4 linked regions of the Arabidopsis thaliana genome follow. The protein of the gene in region 1 purifies or fractionates together with the protein of each later gene. This does not show direct contact. Each region holds a gene or a part of one and is shown in the gene's direction. Other genes may lie near its edges. The genes, in order: AT2G05720, MCM3, EIF2 ALPHA and GYRA.

What was found.
Region 2: the proteins of AT2G05720 (region 1) and MCM3 fractionate together in Arabidopsis thaliana (co-fractionation; one large-scale study listed by BioGRID). This does not show direct contact.
Region 3: the proteins of AT2G05720 (region 1) and EIF2 ALPHA fractionate together in Arabidopsis thaliana (co-fractionation; one large-scale study listed by BioGRID). This does not show direct contact.
Region 4: the proteins of AT2G05720 (region 1) and GYRA fractionate together in Arabidopsis thaliana (co-fractionation; one large-scale study listed by BioGRID). This does not show direct contact.

Annotation. Positions count from the first base shown.
Region 1 is NC_003071.7:2,144,350-2,149,705, forward strand, and holds AT2G05720 (Transducin/WD40 repeat-like superfamily protein), read left to right. Parts: upstream 1-2,842; coding exon 2,843-3,278; intron 3,279-3,471; coding exon 3,472-3,866; downstream 3,867-5,356. Other genes in the region: ACO3 (aconitase 3), read left to right, coding at 62-129, 222-340, 453-574, 686-784, 864-1,343, 1,431-1,529, 1,612-1,854, 1,933-2,001.
Region 2 is NC_003076.8:18,767,769-18,776,129, reverse strand, and holds MCM3 (Minichromosome maintenance (MCM2/3/5) family protein), read left to right. Parts: upstream 1-2,426; 5' UTR 2,427-2,523; coding exon 2,524-2,586; intron 2,587-2,681; coding exon 2,682-2,782; intron 2,783-2,970; coding exon 2,971-3,179; intron 3,180-3,278; coding exon 3,279-3,409; intron 3,410-3,501; coding exon 3,502-3,740; intron 3,741-3,814; coding exon 3,815-4,051; intron 4,052-4,152; coding exon 4,153-4,307; intron 4,308-4,420; coding exon 4,421-4,629; intron 4,630-4,713; coding exon 4,714-4,873; intron 4,874-4,959; coding exon 4,960-5,156; coding exon of another isoform or gene 5,157-5,168; exon of another isoform or gene 5,169-5,239; coding exon 5,240-5,299; exon of another isoform or gene 5,300-5,386; coding exon 5,387-5,476; coding exon of another isoform or gene 5,477-5,488; exon of another isoform or gene 5,489-5,568; coding exon 5,569-5,771; coding exon of another isoform or gene 5,772-5,775; exon of another isoform or gene 5,776-5,861; coding exon 5,862-6,081; intron 6,082-6,171; coding exon 6,172-6,228; 3' UTR 6,229-6,481; downstream 6,482-8,361. Other genes in the region: KASI (3-ketoacyl-acyl carrier protein synthase I), read left to right, coding at 57-488, 758-931, 1,041-1,154, 1,254-1,403, 1,475-1,541, 1,624-1,691; AT5G46270 (Disease resistance protein (TIR-NBS-LRR class) family), read left to right, coding at 7,040-7,051, 7,268-7,746, 7,833-8,361.
Region 3 is NC_003076.8:1,616,629-1,622,840, forward strand, and holds EIF2 ALPHA (eukaryotic translation initiation factor 2 alpha subunit), read left to right. Parts: upstream 1-3,829; 5' UTR 3,830-3,950; coding exon 3,951-4,334; intron 4,335-4,446; coding exon 4,447-4,503; intron 4,504-4,599; coding exon 4,600-4,686; intron 4,687-4,770; coding exon 4,771-4,917; intron 4,918-5,017; coding exon 5,018-5,122; intron 5,123-5,229; coding exon 5,230-5,328; intron 5,329-5,430; coding exon 5,431-5,586; 3' UTR 5,587-5,709; downstream 5,710-6,212. Other genes in the region: ENGase85A (Glycosyl hydrolase family 85), read left to right, coding at 33-144, 236-343, 445-557, 636-717, 815-895, 1,023-1,078, 1,185-1,320, 1,415-2,143; AT5G05480 (Peptide-N4-(N-acetyl-beta-glucosaminyl)asparagine amidase A protein), read right to left, coding at 5,710-6,212.
Region 4 is NC_003074.8:3,339,069-3,349,029, reverse strand, and holds GYRA (DNA GYRASE A), read left to right. Parts: upstream 1-2,669; 5' UTR 2,670-2,786; coding exon 2,787-3,211; intron 3,212-3,305; coding exon 3,306-3,375; intron 3,376-3,473; coding exon 3,474-3,539; intron 3,540-3,653; coding exon 3,654-3,755; intron 3,756-3,943; coding exon 3,944-3,988; intron 3,989-4,064; coding exon 4,065-4,163; intron 4,164-4,302; coding exon 4,303-4,389; intron 4,390-4,522; coding exon 4,523-4,593; intron 4,594-5,081; coding exon 5,082-5,190; intron 5,191-5,295; coding exon 5,296-5,358; intron 5,359-5,507; coding exon 5,508-5,573; intron 5,574-5,668; coding exon 5,669-5,757; intron 5,758-5,958; coding exon 5,959-6,007; intron 6,008-6,160; coding exon 6,161-6,247; intron 6,248-6,348; coding exon 6,349-6,442; intron 6,443-6,827; coding exon 6,828-6,898; intron 6,899-6,983; coding exon 6,984-7,073; intron 7,074-7,463; coding exon 7,464-7,589; intron 7,590-7,675; coding exon 7,676-7,833; intron 7,834-7,931; and 17 more. Other genes in the region: GalAK (galacturonic acid kinase), read left to right, coding at 119-184, 357-436, 562-661, 1,022-1,173, 1,336-1,376, 1,469-1,497, 1,592-1,661, 1,770-1,859 and 1 more; AT3G10680 (HSP20-like chaperones superfamily protein), read right to left, coding at 9,685-9,961. UniProt on the Arabidopsis thaliana protein: A type II topoisomerase that negatively supercoils closed circular double-stranded DNA in an ATP-dependent manner.

The DNA of each region.
Region 1 (5,356 bases):
TAGAAATCTATCTGATGCCTCGACATTTTCTGATCCCTTTTTCAAAAACTTGCCTCTGTAGGTTAAGCCTTGGATAAAGACAAGTCTTGCTCCAGGCTCAGGAGTTGTTACAAAATACTTATTAAAGAGGTATGTCGTATTTTTATCTAGTTCTTCGTTGTTAAAGGCTAATTCTTTCTTATGTGATGGTAAATTTAAGTGTAACATCTTACTCCATGCAGTGGATTGCAAGAATATCTGAATGAACAGGGTTTCAATATTGTCGGCTACGGGTGCACTACATGCATCGGGAATTCTGGGGAAATTAATGAATCAGTGGGAGCTGCTATTACCGAAAATGGTATTATTGAGATTCCCAACTAAACTTACTTTGGACTTTCCATCCTTTATATTACTATTATATATAAGTAAGTAGCTGATTTGTTTTCAATATTTGTGTTGCTTGGTTTTAGACATTGTGGCGGCTGCTGTGCTATCCGGTAACAGGAACTTTGAGGGGCGTGTTCATCCACTAACAAGAGCCAATTACCTTGCATCTCCTCCGTTGGTGGTTGCCTATGCTCTTGCTGGCACGGTAATAAATCTTGAGAACTTGTCAAAGTTCAACTTACATTTTGTATGAGATAATGACACATGACTGATTATCACATTGGTAATTTTGGCGTTCTTCTTTCTTATTTTCCAGGTTAACATTGACTTTGAAACGGAGCCTATTGGCAAAGGAAAGAATGGCAAGGACGTCTTCTTAAGAGATATCTGGCCAACCACGGAAGAAATTGCTGAGGTATATACGACTTAACCAGAGAACAATAACATCTTTTTTATACACAAATATTAAACTAATCTTTTGACATATGGATCAGGTTGTTCAATCCAGTGTTTTGCCTGACATGTTCCGAGCAACGTACGAGTCAATCACCAAGGGTAACCCCATGTGGAATAAGCTGTCTGTTCCTGAGAATACCCTCTACTCATGGGATCCCAACTCAACTTACATTCACGAGCCTCCATACTTCAAGGACATGACCATGGATCCTCCTGGTCCACACAATGTGAAGGATGCTTACTGTTTACTCAATTTTGGGGACAGTATCACCACTGATCACATCTCACCAGCTGGAAACATCCAAAAGGACAGTCCTGCTGCAAAGTTTCTCATGGAGCGTGGCGTTGACCGTAAGGACTTCAACTCATATGGAAGTCGCCGTGGGAATGATGAAATAATGGCCAGAGGTACTTTTGCTAATATCCGTATCGTTAACAAGCTCATGAATGGTGAAGTTGGCCCTAAGACTGTTCACATTCCATCTGGAGAGAAGCTCTCAGTCTTTGACGCTGCCATGGTTTGTATTTATCTAATTAAAATTTGTATTACTGACTGTATGTTGATCATGTCGAATGTCTCCTTATCATAATGTCAAATGTATCAGAGGTACAAGTCATCTGGTGAAGACACAATTATTCTGGCTGGAGCTGAGTATGGAAGTGGTAGCTCACGTGATTGGGCTGCCAAGGGACCCATGCTACAGGTTTAGAACCGCTTCTCTAGTTTCTTTCCGCATAAACCAATCTTACTGTTTTATTCTGAAACAACAAGTTTGGGATTGTCAGGGTGTTAAAGCGGTGATTGCAAAGAGTTTTGAGAGGATTCACCGAAGCAACTTGGTGGGAATGGGAATCATCCCATTGTGCTTTAAGTCCGGTGAAGACGCAGATACTCTTGGATTGACTGGTCACGAACGCTACACGATCCATCTCCCAACCGATATCTCAGAGATAAGACCTGGCCAAGATGTTACCGTCACTACCGACAACGGAAAATCTTTCACTTGCACAGTCCGCTTCGACACAGAGGTAACTAAATACTCCAATCTTTAGTGAAAAAAAGCTTTTCAATGTGAAGGAACTAATAATGGTAAAATAAATGTGCAGGTGGAATTGGCATACTTTAACCATGGAGGCATACTTCCATATGTTATCAGAAACTTGAGCAAGCAATAGTGAAGGAAGCAATACACAAGTTATGGAGCAAAATAAAAGAGTGTTTGTTTCTGTTTTAAAATGTCTTTTTTAAAAGGCAGATAAGTCTGTCTAGGATTAGGTTAAAAGGTGAGTGATCTCATGCAATATATGAGTTTCAGTGGGTTATTCTTACACGCTTAGGCTCCCATGTTTCGCAACTTGCAAGAGTTGAATATTATTGTTTTTGAAAAGGAATAAGAGAGCCTTCTTGCATATTCCCATTACTGACTCCCAAAGACCTCGCAATCTGTTGCATTTCACAAGCGTATTCAGCAGCATCTATACCAATTCTCAGATCATGTTCAAGAACACCTGCTCTATTCAAATCTACTTGCACCATTAGAGTAACCAACTAATACATAAGAAACACAAACATCTTGCAGCTGAAGCCTAAAACCAATACAAGAATCTGATAAAACCAAACTGAAACTTGTCATAAATTCCATATGAACCTGAGAGTAATCTCCTGTGTCTGAATGAAGTAACTTGCCAGCATCTTCTTCCATATGAACCCTAGTAATACCAAAATCTCCTATGTCCACCACCAAACTCAAGAGGAATATCCAAATCTGATAACCTTGAAGAAGATCTGGATAAAAATACTGCTTCCTATCGAATTTAGACTTAAGAGACAAATCACAATTCAAAGCTAACCCCAATAACCCACTTTTTTAATAGATTTCCTTTCTTTCTTTCTGATCCATCTCGTTTACTTTGCTATAAATAAGAGCTTTGGTAAGCCAAACCTTCTTGTCTTCTAAGTGAACTAGTCTTGTCACGAGCTTCTTCTAGATCTTGTTTCAAAAGTTTGTTTATACCAATGGGTCCAACAGAGCTTAGAGAGGCTAGAATAGAAATTACCAAAGATTTTATAAAGAGAGCTGCTCTAAGGATTCAGCGTGAAAATCGGCGAAGGAATGATCCAGATGAAGATAAAAATGCTGAGACTAAATTGGCTTTAAAGCATTGTAAAGACATGGTTCTTGGTTCTAGTAAATTTGGGGATGATCGTCCTCTTACTGGTTGCTCCTTATCACGAGATGGAAAAATACTCGTCACATGTTCTCTTAGTGGGGTTCCTAAATTGTGGGAGGTGCCTCAAGTTACAAACAAGATTGTTGTCTTGAAAGGTCATAAAGAACATGTAACTGATGTAGTGTTCTCGTCTGTGGATGATGAATGTCTAGCAACTGCTTCTACTGATCGAACTGAAAAGATATGGAAAACGGATGGAACACTTCTACAAACTTTTAAAGGTCATTCAGATCGTCTTGCACGCATTGCATTCCACCCGTCATAGTCGTAGTGTTGAGATGCCTCCGGACAACGAGTTTTGATAAAACATGGAGATTGTGGGATATAAACATAGGAGTTGAGATGCTTTAACACAAGAAGGTCATAGTCGTAGTGTCTACGGAATTGCATTTCAACAAGATGGATCATTAGTAGCTTCTTCGGGTTTTGATTCGCTTGCAAGAGTTTGGGATCTTCGTACGGCTAGGAATATTCTTATCTTCCAAGGACATATCAAACAGGTTCTCTCGGTGGATTTCTCTCCTAATGGTTATCATTTGGCATCTGGTGGTGAAGATAATCAATGCCGTATTTGGGATCTACGGATGAGAAAGTTGTTGTATATTATACCAGCTCATGTGAACCTCGTTTCTCAAGTAAAGTACGAACCACAAGAACGCTATTTCCTGGCTACTGCCTCACACGACATGAACGTTAATATATGGTCAGGTAGAGATTTCTCGCTTGTTAAAAGCTTAGTAGGACATGAGTCAAAAGTCGCATCTCTTGATATCGCTGTAGATAGCTCGTCTCGCAAGTGTTTCGCATGACCGCACCATAAAGCTTTGGACATGCTGTGGGAATGATGAAGATAATGGGAGAGAAACAATGGACATAGAACTCTAGTTTGTTTTTGAGTTATTTACATTTTACACTCTCACATACTTTTTCATCTTTCATTTTACACTCCCACACTTTCATCTTCCAAAACAATTTTTTTCCTGTGTTATTACCGAAACGCCCCCAACTACATACCATACACTTTTATCTTTCAAAAATAACGGTCCTCTTTTTTTTTTTCTCTCTCTCATTCTCTCTCTTATTATTATTTTAGTTACTTAATATAAAGTGTTTTGTCTGTTTTCTTATATAATAAATCAAGAATTCATTTTTCCTACATTTTAAGATCCATTGTTACTATATTTTAAGTAAATAATTATATGACAGTTTATCCATTTCCGATCGAACATTTGTTTACTATTAAATGGATTTTAAAAGGTACTTGCACAAATATACTATACCGATATTTATAACTACTGATCATCCAAACATGTGAAAGAAAGTGAATGCAAAGCTTGAAAAAACAAAAATGCAGATGTATTAATTCAAGCGTTCTGATCTGATCTGATTCAAATAAAAGAGAAGAACATGACAAGTAAGATGTCCATCAAAGATTGTATATATGGATGATGGCAAGTATGTTGACTATTCAGTGTTATTAAGTATGTTTAGTGAACTTGATCTAAGCAATATCCTTTGACCATCTAAGTGGATAAGTGTTTATGGACAAGTGTTAATGGACAAGTATTTATGGCCGAAACTAAGTAGATGAACTGAAAGTGTTTAGAGAACCTTAAATCTATTATGGTGTTGCTGGTTGTGATGGTTTCCCAAGCCTGCAACAAGTCTTGATGATTTTCAATTGGCCGACGATATATATGGTTTTCACAAAGCATATACAGTTATCCAAACTTACTTTTATTTGTGTGTTTTTAAGCTGGTGGTTCTTTAAGTCATCCATTTGTTCGAATCTAGTAGACTAGTACATGGACGATATGAACATGTTGAAACAAACAATTGTTCACAATGTCATGGATGATATGGTTATTAATGAATCAAATCAGATCAGAACTCTTGAAATAAATTTGCATTTTTGTTTTTTCAAGCTTTGCATTCACCTTCTCTCATCTGTTTCACTACAAGAAATATGGGCACTCTTAGCACACGGAAAACACTATAATATTGTTTATATAGCGAATTCATAAACGCTGTGTTTGCTGGAACTATCTTAGGTCGGTCACATACAATAGCTTTTTTTTGCTATGCTATGTTATGTAAATATATCATAGCGTAAATTATGTTATATGATTATTATTTTTGCAGCTCAGTTTTAATGTTGTATTATATTGTGTTGTAGCAATTTATATTTGTTTATTATATTACACTTATAGCTCTTGTTTATTGCTCTACTACATGTTTATGTGATATCTTATTTCATATACATTTAATCCTATTTACATAAATATTTAGTTAAATTTAT
Region 2 (8,361 bases), on another chromosome or scaffold:
ATTTTGAAGAGTTTAGGAGTCAAAGTTTTGATTTTTGGTTATTGGGTTTGTTGCAGATTGATAAGAGGAAAGCTGGAGTACTAGTTGGGACTGGAATGGGAGGTTTAACTGTGTTTTCAGAAGGTGTTCAGAATTTGATTGAGAAGGGTCATAGGAGGATTAGTCCATTTTTTATACCTTATGCTATAACAAATATGGGTTCTGCTTTGTTGGCGATTGATCTTGGTCTTATGGGTCCTAACTATTCGATTTCAACTGCTTGTGCTACTTCGAATTACTGCTTTTACGCTGCTGCGAATCACATTCGTCGTGGTGAAGCTGATATGATGATTGCTGGTGGGACTGAGGCTGCTATTATTCCTATTGGGTTGGGAGGTTTTGTTGCTTGTAGGGCATTGTCCCAGAGAAATGATGACCCTCAAACTGCTTCCAGGCCGTGGGATAAAGCAAGAGATGGGTTTGTTATGGGTGAAGGAGCTGGTGTTCTGGTATGTTTCACAAATTCTTAATCTCTCATTGATACTATGAATCTACATACATTTGGCTTGCTCTGTTTTGAATTGTATATAAGAGCCTGTTTTGGTCTTAGTTTATAGAATCTGATGAAACTTGTGTTCCCTAGTCTATTAGCTCTGGAAGTTTCCTTGCACTTGAATTGTACTACATTTTCAAAGTTGGTTTATCTCACCATGAGATTGGCTCATACATGTGACATTTTGTTTTGGAGAGACCCACTAATTGTTGTATGCCCTAATAGGTGATGGAAAGCTTGGAACATGCAATGAAACGTGGTGCTCCAATTGTAGCAGAATATCTTGGAGGTGCTGTTAATTGTGATGCTCACCATATGACTGATCCAAGAGCTGATGGTCTTGGGGTTTCTTCATGCATTGAAAGATGCCTGGAAGATGCTGGTGTATCACCTGAGGAGGTAAAAAACACAAACTTTTCATGCTTCCTAAGTTTTAAGGCTATCTGAAACAAATTTCTTCATTAGATTCGTGTTACTTCCCTACTTATATTCATTCCACGTTTTTCAGGTAAATTACATCAATGCACATGCAACTTCCACTCTTGCTGGTGATCTTGCTGAGATTAATGCCATTAAAAAGGTATTCAAGAGCACTTCAGGGATCAAAATCAACGCCACCAAGGTTCGTCCCCAATGCTCTATGATTGAGTGTTCTTCTTCTCCTCTATTTCAATGTATTTGTTTGCTTTGCATTTCCTGTGAATGACAGTTTCTGTTACAGTCTATGATAGGTCACTGCCTCGGTGCAGCTGGAGGTCTAGAAGCCATCGCCACCGTGAAGGCTATCAACACTGGATGGCTGCATCCTTCCATCAACCAATTTGTACGTATAACAGGAAGTCAAGAAAAGGCTTCTTTGATTCCGCTTTCAGTTTGAACTGTTGCAAGATTTGAACTTGGTCATTGTATTAGACTCTCACACTCTTTGTTTTCTCATTGTAGAACCCAGAACAAGCTGTGGACTTTGACACGGTCCCAAACGAGAAGAAGCAACACGAGGTTGATGTTGGTAAGTGACAAACATGACCGCCTTCTCATTGGATTAAACTGGCAACAGTTTCACTGATTAATGTCTTTCTGTTTTGCTGCAGCCATATCAAACTCGTTCGGGTTCGGTGGACACAACTCGGTAGTCGCCTTCTCTGCCTTCAAACCCTGATTTCTTCATACCTTTTAGATTCTCTGCCCTATCGGTTACTATCATCATCCATCACCACCACTTGCAGCTTCTTGGTTCACAAGTTGGAGCTCTTCCTCTGGCCTTTTGCGGTTCTTTCATTCCCCGTTTCTTACGGTTGCTGAGATTTCAGATTTTGTTTGTTCTCTCTCTTGTCTGCGGAATGTTGTGTATCTTAGTTCGTTCCATATTTGCGTAATTTATAAAAACAGAAACTGAGAGAATCTTGTAGTAACGGTGTTATTGTCAGAATAATCCAATTAGGGGATTCTCATCTTTTATTTCTCAACAATTCTTGTCGTGTTTTTACATTCGAAGAAATTAGATTTATACTGAATTTTTTTTCAGTTATACATATGTTGTGATACATCCGAAAATGTTCTCAAATCACACAGGTTTATTTTGGTTTTCATATATACATTTTTCGGTTTACTGGCTTGAAGGCAGTAGCAAAAGTTAAACCGAATTTACAATGAATTGATTTGGTATGTCTGGTTTTTGGTTTAGAATCTGGGTGTATTATACCGCCTTGAGGAAATCAAACGCGCCAAACAAGCGCGTAGACGTAAGTCCAAAATTGTACCGGCCCAAATTTGGTTAATCAAAAAGCACGTAGACGAAAGGCCCAACTAATATCGGCCCAAAATGACCCTTCCCGCCAAAAAGGGTACAGGTTATCTCACGAAATCCCGCCATAAGGAGAAGATCCGCCCTTTATGCCTCTCGAAATCGGAAATCGAAAATCTCTAATCAGTTTTTTTTTTTTAAGTAGAAGAAGAAAAGTTCTTACGAAGAACCCAGATTTTGTTAAGAAATGGATGTGCCAGAGGAGACGAGGCTTCGCCACAAGCGAGATTTTATCCAGTTCCTCGATAGTGTAAGTCGATTTCTATCACTTTTCTCACCAGACATTTCTCGAGCTTCTGTTCTTATCTAATTTGAAAAATTGGATTTTTTTTACGGATTGTGTAGATGTATATGGAGGAAATCAAGGCTTTGGTACATCAAAAGCGTCACCGTCTCATTATTAATATCTCTGACATTCACCACCACTTCAGGGAAGTTGCCTCTAGGTTCGTCATCTTCTCAATTTGTCTTCCTCGAATTTTTAATCGGTTCTTTAGTATAAGGTTATGAATTTACGGCAGATTTTAGGGTTTTGTTAGATTCAGTGAGGTTAATTTGGGGATTTTTAAGGATTCACTACAATTGTCATATGTTTTGTGACCTTAAAGTTGATTGCTTTGGTTTTTTTGGATAGGATACTGAAGAATCCAAATGAGTATATGCAGTCATTTTGTGACGCAGCCACTGAAGCTACTCGTGCTATTGACCCTAAATACTTGAAGGAAGGAGAGCTTGTCCTTGTTGGTTTTGAAGGTTATTTTGTTTCTCGCGTTGTTACTCCTAGAGAGCTTCTCTCTGATTTTATTGGATCTATGGTCTGTGTTGAGGGCATTGTCACCAAATGTAAGCTCATCATTTTCACTCTATTCCTCTGCTTTTCTTCTGTTTCCTTTGTGTTTTACGTAGAAGATTTTGAACCTCTGACACATGCTTTGCTTTCAGGCTCTCTTGTGAGGCCAAAGGTTGTTAAAAGCGTTCACTTTTGTCCATCAACCGGTGAATTTACCAATCGAGATTATCGAGACATAACATCTCACGCTGGTTTACCCACTGGCTCTGTCTATCCCACAAGGGTAATTACATGTTTTTTGTTTTCGTTTTGTTCATTTACCTGTACTGCTGGAAGATTTGCCTCTTACTGAAGATTGAGTTTTTTTTTGTTCAGGATGATAAGGGAAACTTATTGGTGACTGAGTATGGGCTGTGCAAATACAAAGATCACCAGACCTTGTCAATTCAAGAAGTGCCTGAAAATGCTGCTCCTGGTCAGCTTCCACGAAGCGTTGATGTCATTGCTGAGGATGACCTTGTTGACTCATGCAAGCCAGGAGATCGAGTATCTGTTTTCGGTATTTACAAAGCTCTTCCTGGAAAAAGCAAGGGTAGTGTAAATGGAGTCTTTAGGTGCGTTTTCTTACACATCTGTTAGTTCAAGATGTTTTCACTCTGATAGTCTTGACCGAGTTCTTTCTGTGTAGGACTATCCTCATAGCCAATAATATCGCTCTGCTCAATAAAGAAGCAAATGCACCTATATACACTAAGCAAGACCTAGATAACATTAAAAATATTGCACGAAGAGATGATGCATTTGATCTCCTTGCTCGTTCCTTAGCACCTTCTATTTATGGGCACGCTTGGATAAAGAAAGCAGTAGTTTTACTGATGCTTGGTGGTGTTGAAAAGAACCTGAAGAACGGAACCCACTTGAGGGGGTAAGTCTTGCTTGAAAACAGATTTCAGATTCGACTCATTGGATACTTTTTGTCTAACTCATTTTTCTTTCTTCACTTGAAAACAAATCTTGTGCTTTCAGAGACATCAACATGATGATGGTTGGTGATCCATCTGTTGCCAAATCTCAACTTCTGAGAGCGATAATGAATATTGCACCTTTGGCTATATCAACCACAGGCCGTGGTTCTTCCGGTGTTGGGTTAACTGCTGCTGTGACTTCTGACCAAGAAACAGGTAAAAAGCACACAAAAGCGTTTCCACATTTTTTTATCAAATGCTAAAATCAAAATTTGAAGGAAGGTCAAAAGTGCTATTTCTCATTAAAATCAAATTCTCATTTTCATCAGGGGAACGAAGACTAGAAGCTGGTGCAATGGTCCTCGCTGATAAAGGTATCGTGTGCATTGACGAGTTTGATAAGATGAATGATCAGGACCGAGTTGCTATACACGAAGTGATGGAGCAACAGACTGTAACAATTGCAAAAGCCGGTATCCATGCATCACTGAATGCTAGATGCAGTGTGGTTGCAGCTGCAAATCCCATATACGGAACTGTAAGTTCTCACCGAAGTTTTCCTAATCTACTTACTCTACTGACTAGTATTTTTTTGTCCTAATACCTACTCTTGCTCCTGCAGTATGACAGATCACTGACTCCAACAAAGAACATTGGACTTCCAGATTCGCTGCTTTCTCGTTTTGATCTACTGTTTATTGTGTTGGATCAAATGGATGCTGGTATCGACAGCATGATTTCAGAACATGTCTTGCGCATGCATCGTTACAAGAACGATAGAGGTAGGAAACAAATCATGCTTCTATGTTTTACTAAACATTTCACAACCCATGTCTTGAAACGCATCTGACTTTTGAGTGAACCATAGGTGAGGCAGGGCCAGATGGGAGCTTGCCTTACGCGAGAGAAGACAATGCTGAGAGTGAAATGTTTGTTAAGTATAACCAAACACTACATGGGAAGAAGAAAAGAGGCCAAACACATGATAAAACCCTTACGATTAAGTTCTTGAAGAAGTACATTCATTACGCCAAGCACCGTATTACACCAAAGCTCACTGATGAAGTGAGACAGTGAACTCAAATATATAAATTTTTATGTATCTGATAATCTCTTCCACTAAATCTCTTTTGTTATTAAATTTGCAGGCATCGGAACGTATTGCAGAAGCATATGCAGATCTCAGAAATGCAGGTTCCGATACTAAGGTAATTTATTTCATAAAATAACATTGGACACTGTATCTTTTTCGTCTTGGGAACTTGTATTTGACACAACCATCGAAATCTCTGCAGACTGGAGGTACGCTTCCGATAACAGCCAGAACTCTAGAGACAATAATTCGTCTTGCTACGGCACATGCCAAAATGAAGTTGAGTAGCGAGGTAACAATCTAACTCAAATCTTCTGTTTCCCCACCTGGTCGTGAATATGTTCTATTCAGATTCTTTCTAAAGTGATAACTTTATTTTGAAAGGTTACTAAAGCTGATGCAGAGGCTGCCTTGAAGCTTATGAACTTTGCAATATATCATCAAGAATTAACTGAGATGGATGATCGTGAGCAAGAAGAACGTCAAAGGGAACAAGCTGAACAAGAAAGAACACCAAGTGGACGTAGAGGCAACCAACGCAGGAATAATGAAGATGGAGCAGAGAATGACACTGCAAATGTCGACAGGTAAACTAATTTGATCTCCTCCATGGAAACCTATATCACAGCTTTCTCAACCCTTATACTTTTTTCTTTCTCTTTTGCTGGTCCATTCAGTGAAACAGCAGATCCAATGGAAGTAGATGAACCTTCTGTAGAGCAATTCAGCGGCACGGTCTCTGCAGCAAGGATTGAAACCTTTGAGCGAGTGTTTGGGCAGCACATGAGGACACACAGGCTCGATGACATCTCTATTGCAGATATAGAGACTGTTGTCAACAACAATGGGGTTGGAGCATCTCGTTACTCTGCAGATGAGATTATGGCTCTCTTAGAGGTAATTCACAAATTAAGAGACAAGCTTTCTCATTCTTTAACTTTTTATACAATATCTTCATAACTTTACTCTATTGTGGATTTTATGCAGAAACTGCAAGATGATAACAAAGTGATGATCAGCGATGGCAAAGTTCATATCATTTGATCATATGAAGAAATCAATATTGATTGCATCATCATCATCATATTAGAACTCAAAAATAGTGTAGTAGTAAACTCTTGGAAACCAAAATATCATTTTGTAAAATCTTTATTCATACGTTATGTTTTTTGCATTTACTAGTGAAGTAAAACTGATGATAAAATGCTTAAAAAAACGCATCTGATTATAAAATTTGGAATTTATAACGAAAAGCACAATCCGAGAATAAAATACTTTCATATTTATCCTATAATTTCTTGAGCTGTTTATGCCAAATTTTATACATATGTAATCGACATCAAGATTATAGTGTATATGTTGTTTTAACCCAATGGTAAGAATAGAGTTGTGCCATATATAAGCCAACTTCAAAACCCTAATAATCACTACCTTGGAACTCTCTCGTCTAAAAGATCCATGTTTTTCCATTTGGTCTCTATTACTTTTTTTTTTTTTTTCCAAAACATGTTTGCTTTGTCCATGATGGATCCTATACGTTTCTAAAATTGTACATATAATCAGGTTAAATTCCACAAAGACGGATTGAAATCAGTTTTGGTATACAGAGTAATACAACAAAATCTATTTTTTTTTTTGTTGCCAAATAACAAAATCTATTTTGGTAGGTTACTGCACACGTTTCTCTATCAACCCTAGTCAAAACAATTGAGTTACTAAATAAACTTACGTAGTTAGGCCATACATGTCTCTGATTCAGACCAGAGCTTCTCAGAAATGTTAAGGCCATGAGCAAGAGAAACTTGTCTCCACTCTAAGAATTCTAAATTCTTAAAGTAATCATAAAGTGAGACGTATGTGTAGTAATGTAAGGGGATAAGACATTAGAGGCTATGAAACATTTGCTTATGACCTTGTACAAAAGATGATTAAGACATCAAATTGGAAATATCCGTCAAGTTGTGTCTGAAACAATAGTGAAACTGATTAGTGAAGACTTTTGTGGCCGTGTTTAATATTTTTATATAATTAAATCACCAAGACGTACGATTACAATCTTAATCTCCAAAGTCTTTGTTCATAGTTTCCTCCTCTCATTCTCTCTATGGCTTCTTCATCTTCTTCTCGAAACTGGTTATATGATGTTTTCTTGAGCTTCAGAGGGGGAGACGTCCGCGTAACATTCCGTAGCCACTTTCTCAAAGAGCTTGATCGGAAACTGATCACTGCATTCAGAGACAATGAGATCGAGAGAAGCCACTCTCTCTGGCCCGATCTTGAACAAGCCATCAAGGATTCCAGAATCGCAGTGGTCATTTTCTCCAAAAACTACGCTTCATCGAGCTGGTGTCTTAACGAGTTGCTGGAGATTGTGAATTGCAATGATAAAATTGTCATACCAGTTTTCTACGGAGTGGATCCTTCCCAAGTGAGGCATCAAATCGGTGACTTTGGAAAGATCTTTGAAAAGACTTGCAAGAGACAAACAGAGCAAGTGAAAAACCAATGGAAGAAAGCGTTGACTGATGTAGCTAATATGCTTGGATTTGATTCTGCGACATGGTATGGTTTTTATACTAACTCATTATTAGATACATCTTGAGATAAAATTATGTCATATTCTTTAAAATTGTCCTTAACCTTATTAGGGATGACGAAGCAAAAATGATTGAAGAAATAGCCAATGATGTTTTGGCTAAACTGCTTTTAACTACACCCAAGGACTTTGAAAATTTTGTTGGCATCGAAGATCATATTGCAAATATGAGTGTATTGTTGAAATTGGAAGCTGAGGAAGTGAGAATGGTTGGTATATGGGGTTCCTCGGGGATTGGTAAGACTACCATTGCAAGAGCTCTGTTTAACCAACTTTCTCGGCATTTCCCAGTTAGCAAATTCATAGACAGAGCTTTTGTATATAAGAGTAGAGAAATTTTTAGTAGAGCCAATCCGGACGACCACAACATGAAGTTACATTTACAAGAGAAACTCCTCTCTGAAATTCTGAGGATGCCAGACATAAAGATCGACCACCTAGGTGTACTAGGAGAGAGGCTACAACACCAAAAAGTTCTTATTATCGTTGATGATTTGGATGACCAAGTGATCTTAGATTCATTGGTGGGTCAAACTCAATGGTTTGGAAGTGGGAGCAGAATCATTGCGGTTACAAATAAT
Region 3 (6,212 bases), on another chromosome or scaffold:
TACTGATCTTTTCTATTACTTTTTTTTTGTAGGTATGATAGTGTCACTATTGATGGTCATCTTGCTTGGCAAGATCAGTTAACCGAGAATAATAAACCTTTCTTTGATATATGCGATGGTATATTCATGAACTATACATGGAAGGTTTGGCCTTTCACTTCAATCAATCACTTCATCTTCATTCATCTTATATGTTTTGATTGTGATATGAGTACTGAGTAGGTATCTCTTTCAGGAGAACTACCCCAAAGCATCAGCTGAAATTGCCGGTGATAGAAAATATGATGTCTACATGGGAATAGATGTGTTTGGTCGGGGAACTTACGGTGGTGGGCAATGGACTGTATGTATCTTTATTCTAACAAATTCATTCAACCAGTAGTCTGCAATGTTCAAGCTGCATATAAAGTTTTTATACGTTTGTTCAATTCTTTTGTATTGTAGGCAAATGTTGCTCTTGATTTGCTGAAGAGCAGTAATGTATCAGCTGCGATATTTGCTCCTGGATGGGTATACGAAACCGAGCAACCCCCGGATTTTTACACGGCACAAAACAAGTAATACTTGCAAATGGCCAAATGTGATGGTAAAATTAATCTTTGCAATCTTATTCATCATATGTTATCTTTCTTTAGATGGTGGTCACTTGTTGAGAAGTCATGGGGTATAGTTCAAACATATCCTCAAGTCCTACCTTTCTACTCAGATTTTAATCAGGTGAAGTCAAACTTTGTTCCCAATGAATAGATGCAAATGAGCATGGCTATTCTATGTTCTACTGAGTTTTGAAACTCTCCACTTGTTTATTATATAGGGCCTTGGTTCTCATACCTCTCTTGGAGGTCGGAAATTATCAGAAGCTCCCTGGTACAACATCTCATGCCAAAGTCTACAGGTTCAATGGTCACTCCTTGTTCTAGCTTTTATTGCACTAGAGCTCATTTCCTTTTTTGTCACATTTTTAATCTGGACTTATCTATATACCAATTTGATAATTTCTTCTGCTGTGTTCTTTGTGACAGCCATTCCTAGAATTCAATGAAGGAAGGAATTCAGAGACCATTCAGGTCACTGTTGAGTGAGTTCTGACCCTAAATCCCTAATACTAGCCTCATATTTGATTTTCAAGAAGCTTAAGAAGAAATTGTTTTGGCATCTAACAATTAAGCACACATATATGCTAGTGGTCGAGAAGCATCTTATAATGGAGGAGGGAACGTCAGTTTCAGAGGAAAACTAAAGAGAAATGCACATTTCACAGCAAGACTATTCAAACCTCAGCTTCAGCTCTCTGCTGCCCCAATCTCAATCTTCTTTTCTGTAAGTTAACGCATAAGATTTGAGCTCCTCCTCATCTTTACAAAGTTTCAATCTTTAAGTTTTACTCATCATGTAAGTCTTTGGACTGGTGCAGGTGAAGTCAGATAAAAGATCCGAGCTAAGCATTCTGCTCCATTTTTCATCTCCTTCACAAGAGAAAAAGTCCATGCTTATGGTGCCAAATGAATCTATCAACAGATTTGGCGACATGTTCCTGCCATGTCTTCTCACATCAAAACAGACCACATCCGGTTGGACAGTACACGAAACAAACCTTGTTTTAGATGGGCACACACTGACTGAGATATCTGCCTTCTGCTCCAGACCAGATGATCTCACAGAAGAAACAAACACACTAGAGTATTTTGCATTGCTTGGACATATCTCCATCAAGAGCCAGCAAAAAGCCAAGGTTTATCCTCTGGCGTCATCATGGGTTATAGAGGCTCATCACGTAAAGTTTGTACCGGGTGATTCTGGCTCCAAGACCTTAAGTTGTAAGCTAGAATGGAGATTGAAGCACCCTGAAGAAGATTCTGTCTTTCCAAAGTACAATGTATATGCAGAGAATCTGAGTTCGAGTGAGTATAGACCAAGGAAGGTTATGGAAGAACCAAGAAGCGAGAAAGTGTTTCTTGGAACAGCTCATGTTGATGCTTATTATGTCTCTGAAATGGTCGTTGGATCAGATGTGAAGGGAGTCCGGTTCGTGGTTCAAACCTGTGGTGAAGATGGTTCATGGCAGGAGTTGGATGCTTCCCCTAACCTTGTGGTTGAAGTAGAGCGTGTGAGTTCAAAGCTTTGTTGTTGTGGGTTGATTTGAATTATGGTTCATTTCCGAACCTGCGATCTAATAAGACCATTGATGGTTTGTTTAGTCAGTTCAAGGATATGAACCATACGATAATGAATTAATGATTATAAGGTTGATAATAATAACAAACCTTTTCATGCACAGATTCTTTGCCTTGTGGTATATGTTGGTCCTTATCTGAAAGATTCAAAGGACGACGACTAGTCTCAGTTTCACTCTCAACTTGTTCATTCCACTAAAACCGACAAGTCAACACAATGAACATAAAGAACAAACAAAAATACACATCCAATGGAGGAAGAAGAACAATTTACTGCTCCAAATGAAACATAACAAACGAGCTTAGCTTTCTAGTTTTAGTAAAAGTTCTGGGCAACAAAGTAAAAACAGAGCAGGACAACCAAAAAATTCATACCAGAACTATAGATTCGATGATAACAAAGACGATTAACAATGATTAAGGTTTATACATATTTTAGCACTCACCAGTTGAAATCTGAAAGCGTGAATCTAGTTTTTGCCTAAGGAGAGGAAAAGTAAATAATAACATAGCTAGCAACATGTCTACTATTTCATTTTTTTTTTGCGTTTCTAAACCAATCAGAAGGCTCTATTTCGTACCCACTCGCAGAAAGAGCGCGTTGAGCGAGTGAGAGCGATTCTGTGGGTAAACCCCTTTCCAATTCATGCCTTTTTGTATCGACGCATTTCTCTCCAAATTCTCTATCGCGTGACTTTTTTTGTTTTTTTCTCAAAACCAATTGCTAACCGGACCAAAATCATTTTTAATTTCAAAACCAAAGTAAACCAAACCGAAATCAATTTCAATTTGCAATTCTGGACAAAAATTTCTGGCAGTTTGCATGATTTCTTAACAACTTAACTCAAAATCACAAACTATGAACCGATAGAAAAATTTACAAAATCACAGTAATCTTTGATCATTACAAGAAGTGTAGGAAAGGATTAAACTTTTAAATTCCAAAAATCTCAGAATCAAGGCAAAGAAGATTCCTGAAGATTTTTACTTCCATGACATCCAATAGAGGAAGAAGAACAAACCATTGATTCAATTAAAACATTGCAAACGACTGAACGAGCTTAGACTTACTAGTTTTAGTAAATTCCTTGGCAACAAAGTCAAAACAGACATGGACAAAAAAAAAAACCAAAAAAAGAACTGTAGATTCGATAAGAACAAGCAAGATTTGTAATAATTAAGGTTCATAAAGATTAGACTCATCTGAAAGCATGAATCTTCGTGTTCGCCTTTTAGTTCTAACTTACAATTTCCTTCTTTTATGTTCTTTGGTGTGAGGTCGAAGAAAGGAGAGAAATGACTATGAGTGAGTGGTCACGATTCGAAATACTTCTCGATGAACTTTTCCCAAGTTAAAATAATGGGGTAAACTAAGAATATTTCGATTATTAAGAGGTTGAAGTTGTAAATTAATTTACGACATATTACCAAAAATACACAGCTCATTAAGTTAAGCTAATCTCAACATTTTAATCTCTTTATTTGAATCAATTAGTTTCATAACCTTTTTAGTAATTTCAGTACTTTTATTTTGTAGATTAAACGGTATCGTTAGCAAGCCAACTACAAAAACGGTGTCGTACTAGAATGGGCCGTGAGAATGTGAGCGACTCGGCGAGATTGAAGATTATACGACGTCGACTATTTTTAACGACAGAATCGTACCAATTTTGAAAACCCTAAATCTCAATCCTCGACGCTCTCTACTAAGAAACTCAATCTTACTTTCTCTGTAATTCGTAGCTTCCGAAATCTTTTCTCAAGAATCTCATAACCATGGCGAATCCTGCTCCGAATCTAGAATGTCGTATGTACGAATCGAGATACCCTGATGTAGACATGGCGGTGATGATTCAGGTGAAGACCATCGCTGACATGGGAGCTTACGTATCTCTCCTTGAATACAACAACATCGAAGGAATGATCCTGTTCTCCGAGCTCTCTCGCCGTCGGATTCGTAGTATCAGTAGCTTAATCAAGGTCGGTCGTACCGAGCCTGTTATGGTCCTTCGTGTCGATAGAGAGAGAGGTTACATTGATCTCAGTAAACGTAGGGTTAGTGATGAGGACAAAGAGGCTTGTGAGGAGAGGTATAATAAGAGCAAGCTTGTTCACTCTATCATGCGTCATGTTGCTGAGACTGTTGGTGTCGATTTGGAGGTATATTCATTCATACGATTCTCTGACTCTTCTCGAATTTGTTTGAATGTAGGTCAATGTTCTTGAACTGAAACAAGGTCCAATTTCTGAGGAAAAACCTTCTTTTTTGTAGGAGCTATACGTAAACATCGGTTGGCCATTGTATAAGAAGCATGGACATGCTTTTGAGGTAATAGTTCCAAAGATTTTATTATGTAATAGTTGGCCCATTGTCGTTTGTACGAACTATGTTGTGATGGTGTGTACCTTGGACTGTGTGTTTCAGGCTTTCAAAATTGTTGTCACTGATCCTGATTCAGTTTTCGATGCTCTTACCCGAGAAGTTAAAGAAACTGGACCTGATGGTGTGGAGGTAACAACACTCTTTGCCTTGAGCAGCCTTCTCTATCATTGTTTTAATTTGATCATGAAGACTTATAACATATCTTCTGTACAGGTGACCAAAGTTGTCCCGGCTGTGTCTGAAGAATTGAAAGATGCATTTTTGAAGGACATTAGGAGGAGAATGACACCACAGCCAATGAAGATTCGTGCTGATATTGAATTGAAGTGTTTTCAGTTTGATGGAGTTCTCCACATCAAGGTCAGTCTTTTCCTTTTTCTTATCTGTTTTTTTTTTTTGTTTTCTCTGTTTGTTTTCTACTTCTAGCTAAAGATGTTTGGCTATTATTATGAATTTACAGGAAGCCATGAAGAAGGCAGAGGCTGTAGGTACTGATGATTGTCCAGTCAAAATCAAGCTCGTTGCTCCACCACTTTATGTACTCACAACTCACACCCATTACAAGGTATGTTTATGGTTGTTGGGTGTGCTCCTATTTATAAGCGGAAACCGTTTTGAGATACATTGAGGATTACATAGTAACATTGACACTTTCTTGTTCTGACTGAGTAGGAAAAAGGAATAGTGACTCTGAATAAAGCAATTGAAGCATGCATTACTGCAATTGAGGAACACAAGGGTAAACTTGTCGTTAAAGAAGGTGCTCGTGCGGTAAGTCTTGTAGCCTTTTTCTATGACTAGTTGACTGAATTTGCTACTTCAGTCACTCCTTTTCTTCGGTTCCGTGACTTTAATGTGCTACAACATTTTTAGGTGAGTGAGCGTGATGACAAATTGCTTGCTGAGCACATGGCTAAGCTTAGAATGGATAATGAAGAAATGAGTGGTGATGAGGGAAGCGAAGATGAAGAAGAAGACACTGGAATGGGAGAAGTCGATATCGATGGAGGTAGCGGGATAATTGAATGAACAAAAGCAAAAGCATTGTAACTGCTGTTTCTGCTTTAGATCCTACAATTTTGTTTCCCTTTGAGCAAAAACAGTATTTTTTGTTTGACCCCAAACATGGTTAGTAGTACAAGCATCTCTTATTCACGACAAGTGTTTCATAACATTGGTTATGATAAGCTGCTCAATAGTGTTGAGCTCTGAGAATGAAGACGAAGTACAAGAATCAGATGAACTGTCCTGGGCAATCTCCCCATTAGCCGCAACGATGGTGCGGGAATAACAGCTGAATTCATCGATATAGCTAAGACTCTGTTTTGTGCTCGCTTCACCAGCCAAGACATTGTGATCTTCAACCTCCATCCAACCCTCTGAGTCTTGTCTGCTATAAACTTGGATCAAAGCCTCTCCATCTGAATGTGTCTCATTCAAGGCGTGTGAAACATTCGTCACGAGCATATACGTATCCTTGTCGTTGGTTAACCCTCTAAGAGTAGAAGTGATCACTGTAAGAGGATATGTCCGCTGGTGCACGACTCGATTCACCGGTTTACCCGATTCAGAAGTCACCTCCACGATCCGTTCGGTCTTCACTCTCTGCTCAACCCTCTTGTATGTTCCGTTTTTCTCGAACCTCACCAAGCTGT
Region 4 (9,961 bases), on another chromosome or scaffold:
TATTTGGTTGCCATACCTGATCTTTTAGGCCTTGATTTCCCCATAATAGTTGACATAATTGTATTTAATGGAAAAGGTATTTGAATATGTTTCTAAGTAATTGTTTTGATCTTTGAAGGGCATTATTGGTTACCTCAGTGGCTCAAATGGACTAGATAGCTCCGGGCTTAGCTCATCAGCTGCTGTAAGTAACTGAATCCCGCCTGTTTTTGTACAGCAGAAATTTCTCCGGAAAGACAATTTTTACTGCTCTTTAATAGTAACTAAACATTTTTAGCATATGAGAGTGGTGTTTACTTGTCATTTTTGGAAAATGAATCTTGTATATTATTTTATGATCGCCAGAAATGTGACAGGTTGGTGTGGCATACCTGCTAGCTCTAGAGAATGCAAACGAATTGACTGTATCCCCAACAGAAAATATCGAATATGACAGGTATATTCCCTTCTAATGTAACCAAGAAGCTCTTCTGTATTGCTTCATGAGCAGTTGTTTCTCTGTGAAACCAGCAATTAGTGCTGCAAATTGGTCAATTTATATGTGACTTACTGCGTCTGCAGGCTTATTGAGAATGGGTATCTGGGTCTGCGGAATGGAATTTTGGATCAATCAGCTATTTTGCTTTCGAATTATGGGTGTCTAACATACATGGACTGCAAGGTAAAATTCCTTGATTTGTAAGTGATATAGTGTGCAAAAAAGCAAGAAGCTTGTTCATGTGGCAAAACCAAGACTGTTCAATGGGATGCCTAAGATGTTTTTGATCTCTAAACTGAAAATGACTCACGATCAAATCAGATCTACAACATTCTCATTGCTTTCACGAGAAAATAAGTGTTTAATCTTTTCAATTGCTTCGATTTTAATGTATTTCAATGCTGAGTTCACTTCTTCCTAAAATGAAAATGAATGGTTAGAATCAGGAGGCCTTGAAGAAATCCTTCCTAACCAGCCATAGATAGGGAAACTTTATTTTCTTCCAGAAACTGCCATCTCAGAAAAACTGTTTGAAATATGCAGACTTTGGACCACGAGCTTGTACAGGCTCCTGAACTGGAGAAACCGTTCAGGATATTGTTAGCATTCTCAGGCTTGAGGCAGGCGTTGACCACCAACCCAGGATATAATCTGCGAGTTTCTGAGTGTCAAGAGGCAGCAAAAGTTCTTTTGACGTATGTGCAAATCTGTTTGATTCATATTTATCTACATTTTCGCTTATTTAGATTTAAATTTCAGTGGAAATGCTGCAAAGTTTATTTCTCTATTGCTTGTGATACTCATTTTTCTGCATCACAAGATTCACACCCTTCTCTTGATTTACTTTTTCTTTTCAGTGCATCTGGGAACAGTGAGCTGGAACCTACGTTGTGCAATGGTAAAAAAACTTTAAGTGTGGACTTTAACTTATTCGTTGCATGCTGATTAGTTTTTCTTTGTTGCCATGTCTCTAACTGTCCCACTGAATAGTTGAGCATGCGGTCTATGAAGCTCACAAGGTAAGAAAATAAGATTCTTAAGCTTTTGGTAAAACAGGTTCCACCTATATCAGGCCTATGTAAATATGTAATACAATAATACTTGTTCGTGCAGCATGAGCTGAAACCGGTTTTAGCTAAAAGAGCAGAGCATTATTTCTCGGAGAACATGCGAGTTATCAAAGGCAAATGTTCTTGAATTCTTGTAGATGTCTCTTTATGTGCATGAATGATTCATTAAGCTCTTTATGATGCTTAACGGACTTTTATGAATGTTTGTTCTTAAATTTCAGGACGGGAAGCCTGGGCTTCAGGGAATCTTGAAGAATTTGGAAAGCTAATTTCAGCATCCGGCTTGAGTTCCATTGAGAATTACGAATGCGGTACATTACACTCTCTTTTCTTCTCTCCCAAATGCAACATATCCTATAGTGAATACAGACCACTAGTATGCTTACAGACATTATTCTCTCTTAGATTCATTATTTTGGTTTTAAATTCTGTGAGTTTTGTGAAGGTGCGGAGCCACTGATCCAGCTATACAAGATTCTTCTGAAGGCTCCTGGTGTATATGGAGCTAGATTCAGCGGTGCAGGTTTCAGGGGATGTTGTCTAGCCTTTGTAGATGCAGAAAAAGCTGAGGCAGCTGCTTCATATGTGAAGGATGAATATGAAAAGGCCCAACCCGAGTTTGCTAACAATCTAAATGGAGGAAAACCTGTTCTCATCTGTGAAGCAGGTGACGCTGCTCGTGTTCTTCTCTGATCAATCCTGGAGTTTTTGGTTTCTTCCCCACTTAAACTCGATTTTTTTGTCCCTTATATCTCTCACGCTTATTGATTCTTTGCTTGTTTATCTCTTTTTGATCCTGTCTGAGAAATTCTCTGGTCTCTTTGGTCGGAGTTTCATCATTGCTTGATACATTTTTTTTGCTACAAATACATAATGTAAATCATTCTCTACCGTTTTCGAGTCGATAGAAGAATCGCAAACTTCAAAAATGTGACTAACATTTCTCCATAAATTTGTTAAATTTTCAACAATTGGTGAATTTAGTTCTGTAATTGATCTAACAAAGACACTATACAAGTATGAAATTAGAAATTGAAATCGAAAGTTAGTTATTATAATCTTGTTTGTATAAAATAGTGTATATCTCAAATAGAGATACAGATTAGTTTTTTGTTTGGACACAAAGACCCCCGCCAAAGTATTGAAATTCGCGCCTGAGAAATTCTCCGGTGTGGCTCTCTAGGGTTTTAGCACTTTAATCCATTTGTACTTGTAAAAATCCCTAAAACCCTCTGGGCATGACTCCAGTATTATGCCATTCCACTGCTTCAATCCCTAACCCTAACTCTCTCATGTCTCTCTCCTCCACTCTCCGTCTCTCTTCCTCCCTTCTTCGCCGCTCCTTCTTCCGATTCCCCCTCACCGACCCATTATGCCGTCTCCGCCGCACTGAACCCTCCGCCACGCGTTTCTTCTCCTCCCGTACTCCTCGGTCCGGCAAATTCGTTGTCGGTGCTGGTAAGCGCGGAGATGAGCAGGTCAAGGAAGAGTCCGGAGCTAACAATGGCGGTTTGGTTGTTTCTGGGGACGAATCTCGTATTGTGCCTTTTGAGCTACATAAGGAAGCTACTGAGTCGTATATGTCGTATGCGCTCTCTGTTTTGCTTGGACGTGCTTTGCCTGATGTTAGAGACGGACTAAAACCAGTACATCGGAGAATTCTGTTGAGTGACTTTCGTTCGGCTCAAAGCTACTGATATTTTTAAGCTTAGTCAGTGGTATTGTTCCTTCTAATGTTCGATTATTTTGTCTTCCAGCTTTGCAATGCATGAGTTGGGGATGTCATCTAAAAAACCATACAAGAAATGTGCAAGAGTTGTTGGAGAGGTATATTATTGATTTTTGGAAAGTGTTTTCTCAGTCGATTTCTCTAAATATCTTATTCTGAAGAACGATTTGTGCTGTTGAATTCTTTGGGTTTTCAGGTTCTTGGTAAATTCCATCCGCATGGAGATACTGCTGTTTATGATTCTCTTGTTAGGATGGCTCAGGTAAATATCTGAATTCATGGAATGTAGTCCAGTCCTCAAATAATGTTTCAGGCACGATTCGATTCTTCCCAAACTTCTGACTTTTTTGTTTTAATACCTTTGTTTTTTTGGCAGAGTTTCTCCTTGAGATGTCCACTTATCCAAGGCCATGGAAATTTTGGCTCAATAGATGCAGATCCTCCTGCTGCTATGCGTTACACTGAATGCAGACTCGATGTGAGTGCCTTTTACCTTACTTTCCCTTCTAGTTGAAATGGTTTTCCCTGCAATTCACTTTTTCTAGTTGTTTCACTTGTCTTTGCTATCTATAGTGTATCTCTCATCTCTACTTTTTCTCTTGTCTTGAGATGAACATGTATTTTTGTCAGTGTTTTCAGCTGATTGTACTTATTTTTTTTCTGCAGCCACTGGCAGAGGCAGTACTATTGTCTGATCTGGATCAAGATACGGTAACCTCACTATTAATTTGTTGCCAAGTTTACCGATACTCAACTAGATGGTCCTTAACCTCTTTTGTTTTGGCAGGTGGATTTTGTGGCCAATTTTGATAACTCACAAAAAGAACCAGCAGTGTTGCCTGCTCGTCTTCCTGCTTTGTTGTTGAATGGAGCTTCTGGGATTGCGGTAAAATAATCAAACAAATCTTAAATCTGAACTCCTTAATAGATTTTGTTCGAGATTTCTTCAGTTAATCTTGTGCAGATTTTCCCTGCTGTATGAGATTGAATATGCAGTTGAATCTTGATCATTTCACATTGTTTAGGTTGGCATGGCAACAAATATTCCCCCTCATAATCTTGGGGAGTTGGTAGACGTGCTTTGCGCTTTAATCCATAATCCAGAAGCAACGGTATCACTCATCTCCCCTTTGTTTTTCTGTGATTTATCAATTTGTGGGTCTTTTGTTTTACATGAAAAATCCTCTGTTTTATAAGTAGACAACTCATAAGATTTTGTTTCCACTTTCTTCTTCGTCTGGGCAGCTGCAAGAACTGCTGGAATACATGCCTGCACCGGATTTTCCAACTGGAGGAATAATAATGGGAAACCTTGGGTAACTCTTTGCTTTCCAATTTCTCCCCAAAGGGATCTTATACATTAATGACTTTTGTTTGCCCACCTCGTTTGCTAATTTTTTGAGAGTAGGCTATCTATAGGATCAAATAGAAAGACTCACTTCTAAAGTGTGAAACTTTTTTTTTATGGAAATAGAAAAGCATTTTGTTTTGTTTTGATCTATGATTCTAACAGATTACAGAAGCTGTACCTATATCTTAAAAGGAACCTAGAAAATGAGTGAAGAGGATGGTCCAGTTAATAGTTTTCCTTTATTTGTCTGTCATATGCAGTTTTTGAATCATCATGTTTTTTTCTGATGGTGTGAGTGATTTTTTAATATTCTGAAAGCTTATATGTTGTGTAGTACATTTACTCTCGAGTTTGTTGAATACCTTTATTAAAAAAATAGTTTGCATTCATATGCCATTTCCTTTTACAATGTTGGATTCTTATAATTTTCTAATGTGTGTTTGCGCTTTCAAGGGTTTTGGATGCTTACCGAACTGGCCGAGGGCGAGTTGTAGTTAGAGGAAAAGCTGAAGTTGAATTGTTGGATCCAAAGACAAAGCGGAATGCAGTTATTATCACAGAGGTGATCAATTTAGTTTTTTAGATTAATGTTCAGATCTCCATGGATGAGGGTTTCAAAAATGTTTATTAGCAGTAGAGTAATGCCTTTAGTGTGACTTTATTGCAGATTCCTTACCAGACAAACAAAGCTACACTTGTCCAGAAGATTGCCGAACTTGTTGAAAATAAGGTACAACTAAACTTGCGACATCTAATGTTTATTTTGCTTCACTTAGCAATATGTACTTATTTTACTCAGAGGTGTGTTACATTTCTAGTATGTCCTTATATGCTTGCAAAGTTTCTTCTTTATTCATTGATGTTGGTGTTTGTTTTCAGACGCTAGAGGGCATAAGTGACATACGTGACGAGAGTGATCGTAATGGGATGCGTGTGGTTATTGAGGTATTACACTGTTTCCTCTGCACTTAGATGTATTAGTCTGCTTTAAAATTTCATATTGGAAGGTAATTAAGATAATTTCCAATACTTCTCTATAGCTCAAAAGAGGAGGGGATCCTGCACTTGTGCTTAATAATCTTTACCGGCATACTGCCCTTCAATCAAGCTTCAGCTGCAACATGGTGGGGTGAGTTGCATCAACCGATAACTTCTTATTTCCTGTACTTTTTTGAAGAGTGGGCATATAAAAGAACTTGGGCATTTTCCAGGATGACTAGTTGAAAATTCTCTAATGAGTATGTTATGCTTGTAAATATATTAAGGATCATGTATTCACATATGCGTTTTTCTTTATCGTAACTGGATTATGGTATTCTGTGTTTTACAGTATCTGCGATGGAGAACCCAAGCTAATGGGATTAAAAGAACTACTTCAGGTGACCACTTGTCTATGTAAATCATTTATCTACGTAGCCCACAAGGAGTAATAGAAAAGTGAAGATCAGAGATAGGATATTTACTTCTGTGCTACTGTAATCACATTTTAAAGTAAATTTGTTGATTACTTTCTGTTTCTTGCTTGTGTGTAGGCATTTATAGATTTCAGGTGTTCTGTCGTCGAAAGGCGTGCAAGATTCAAGCTTTCACATGCACAACAACGAAAGCATATTATTGAGGTGCGACTAGAAATATTTAACTTTCTTAAATCTGCTCGTGAAGACCATGATGTAATGATGTAAAGCATTTTTTCTAATATCTTCACTGTATATATGCTTAGGGTATTGTGGTTGGGCTTGACAATGTGGACGAAGTAATCGAACTCATCACGAAGGCCTCAAGTCATTCCTCTGCTACTGCTGCTTTACAAAGTGGTGAGCTATATTTTACTTTGACAATATAATCAATGTAACAATCTTGAACTGCACATTATAGGTTGATGTATAAACAGAATTCGGAAAAGTGAGCGAGAATTAGGAGTCAAAAAGTAGACTAGAGCCAATTTTTCTTAGGTGGACTGATAGATGTAGTCTAGGATGTACACTATTAAAAGAATACATCTTGTGGTGAACTCTTCCATATTACATTTGAACATTATATATTTCTTGTCTTTTTATCTGGAACTGCTGGAGTCTCATTCGTTGTAAGATTTGATCTTAATTGCAAAGATTTCTTAGGGATTTATGCTTTGTAAGTCTCTATTGTAAGGGACGATACCATATATTAAAATTAACACTTGTCAAACATTTACTTATGTAGAATATGGTCTTTCTGAGAAACAAGCTGAGGCTATACTGGAGATAACTCTTCGAAGGCTAACTGCTCTTGAGGTGCTTTCTTATTCTCGCTAAGTTCAATTTATGAAACTTGTAGGCTTGACAATGTTCTAACTAGATTCTCCCTTCATAAATGCAGCGGAAAAAGTTTACTGATGAAAGTAGTTCACTAACAGAGCAAATTACAAAGTTGGAGCAGCTATTATCAACCCGAACAAACATCCTAAAGGTGACACACTCACTTTTTAGTTATCTGTTCTTTTGGCTATTGATATTAGAAATTTAGAACACCTAGATGCTAGTAGAATGATAGATGCATCAATATATGTACTCCAAATTTGTAAGCTTGACTGTTTGAGTCCACTGAGGTTCAAAATCTAGTCCATGCATTATGATGTGGTATAAGGATTCAAATGCTTCTTCCATTTCTTGTTTGGTACTTATTTTTATATCTGTAAAGCTGCTTACTATATGTTGCTGTTCTGGGCCAATGTTAGGAAGATAACTGATACATGATGATTTTCTTGTAGACCAAAATTGAACTATTTGCTTCGTTTACTTCATTGTATATTACTTACTACTTTATTCTCTTCGTTGTTTTTCTTGTATTTTTCTTTAGTTAATCGAACAAGAAGCAATAGAGCTGAAGGACAGATTCTCAAGTCCCAGGCGTTCAATGTTGGAGGATTCTGACAGTGGTGATCTAGAAGATATAGATGTTATTCCAAATGAAGAGATGCTGATGGTATGTTGCATACTTAAACCTAGAAAGTTTCTCAACGTTGAAATTTTTGTTGTTTGTTTTGTAACTTTTGATATGGATGACTATAGGCAGTCAGCGAAAAGGGCTATGTGAAGAGAATGAAGGCCGATACATTCAATCTTCAGCATCGTGGAACAATTGGCAAATCTGTTGGGAAACTAAGAGTTGATGATGCAATGTCTGACTTTCTTGTTTGTCATGCACATGACCATGTCCTCTTTTTCAGGTATGTATACCTCAAAATTTCCTTTGTGTTTGCTACGCACATGGATATTAATTTTCTGCCTTGTTGTAATTCATTGCTTATACTTGTTGTACATTCAGTGACCGGGGTATAGTTTACTCAACCCGTGCATATAAAATTCCAGAATGCTCTCGCAATGCAGCTGGTACACCTTTGGTTCAGGTAATTACATATCTGTGTATCTATGTTTTCCTTCTGCTATGTCAAAAATTATTCAATTTTATGAAAGGCTAATGTTTTGCTGTGTTCATGTGACTTGTGGAAGCAGATATTATCCATGTCGGAAGGTGAAAGAGTAACCTCCATTGTTCCTGTTAGCGAGTTTGCTGAAGATCGCTACCTCCTGATGCTTACAGTGAATGGCTGCATCAAGAAAGTATCTTTGAAATTATTTTCAGGAATACGCTCAACTGGAATCATAGCAATTCAGTTGGTTTGTCCCCTTTTTCTTCTTAGTCATATAGGAAGTCTTCTTAACAAGGTTACTCTAACAAAATTATTTGTCTTCAGAATTCTGGTGATGAACTGAAATGGGTTCGTTGTTGCTCAAGCGACGATCTTGTAGCCATGGCATCCCAAAATGGAATGGTCGCCTTGAGTACATGTGATGGTGTAAGTTGTGGCTCTCATTTTTTCTAAATGATTCATCTTTCATGTAAACCTTTTAATACTTGAGCAAACTCTGATGGCTTTTGTTTGTTTAGGTTCGCACACTGAGCAGAAATACAAAGGGAGTGACTGCCATGAGACTCAAGAATGAGGATAAGATAGCGAGCATGGACATCATACCTGCATCTCTGCGGAAAGATATGGAAGAGAAGTCGGAAGATGCTTCACTTGTGTATGTTTTTCTTAACTTATATCTGCTGATGTTTGCTCTAGAAACTTACTTATGTCTTACTGTCTTCTTTTGTTAACACAATCACAAAAGCAGGAAACAATCCACGGGTCCATGGCTATTATTCGTGTGTGAGAATGGCTATGGAAAGCGTGTTCCTCTGAGTAGCTTCCGGCGTTCGCGTCTGAACAGAGTTGGTTTATCTGGATACAAGGTAGGATCTGGATTTTCACCATTTTTGGTTGTGTTTGTGTTGATTTTTCCCTTACATCTAAATCTCAATTTGTCAGTTTGCTGAGGATGATCGTTTGGCTGCTGTTTTCGTTGTTGGTTACTCCTTGGCTGGTAAGTATACACTGCCACAAATACGGATTTAAATGTTCTTTGATTGCTGTTTATATATAATCTCACCATTGGGTTTTCTTGCAGAGGATGGGGAGAGTGATGAGCAAGTAGTTCTGGTGAGCCAAAGCGGAACTGTGAACCGGATCAAAGTCAGGGATATCTCAATCCAATCTCGCAGAGCACGGTACTCCCTTCATGTGACAGTCTTTTCAAATGTATATTTTATATGGTTTCTCATTTGATTGTTAATTTCTCAGGGGAGTGATTCTTATGCGGCTAGATCATGCCGGCAAAATCCAATCTGCATCTCTGATCTCTGCAGCAGATGAAGAAGAAACAGAAGGAACTCTAAGTAATGAAGCCGTAGAAGCCGTTAGCCTGTAAATTTTACAATCCCAATTCCACCAGTTTTTGAGACAATTGTCAAGTTCAGTACATAGAGTCTATGTGCTAACTCTCTTCATTTTGTTTTTTTGTGATGTTACTACGAGAAGAGAAAACCATGATCGAAGTTAGTTATTAACATTAATCTGCTTCACATTTTGTTGGGTTTAACTATATACATATGTTAAGAAAGTTGAAACCAATTATTCTGGTTATAACCAAAACAGTAGTGCTCTTCTCACTTTTGTTTTGTTGTTAACCACAAATCAGGAGAAATATTTTACTAGTGGTACAAAGACGTAAGCACCAAACCCCATAATCACAAGAGCAGCTACACCAACATTCACCAAAGGTATGTCATATGTCCGACTCTCTTCTTCACCCATTCCTCTTCCTCCTACTGCAAGAGGAGGATCCATGTCGCTCTTCTTCTGTCCTTCTTTGACTAGTAATGGACCGGTTTCTGGTTCCACGACTTCAGCATTATCCTTTAGATCGCCTCTATCTTTGGCTAAACCAGCTTCGTCTATCTTCTTCTGCTCC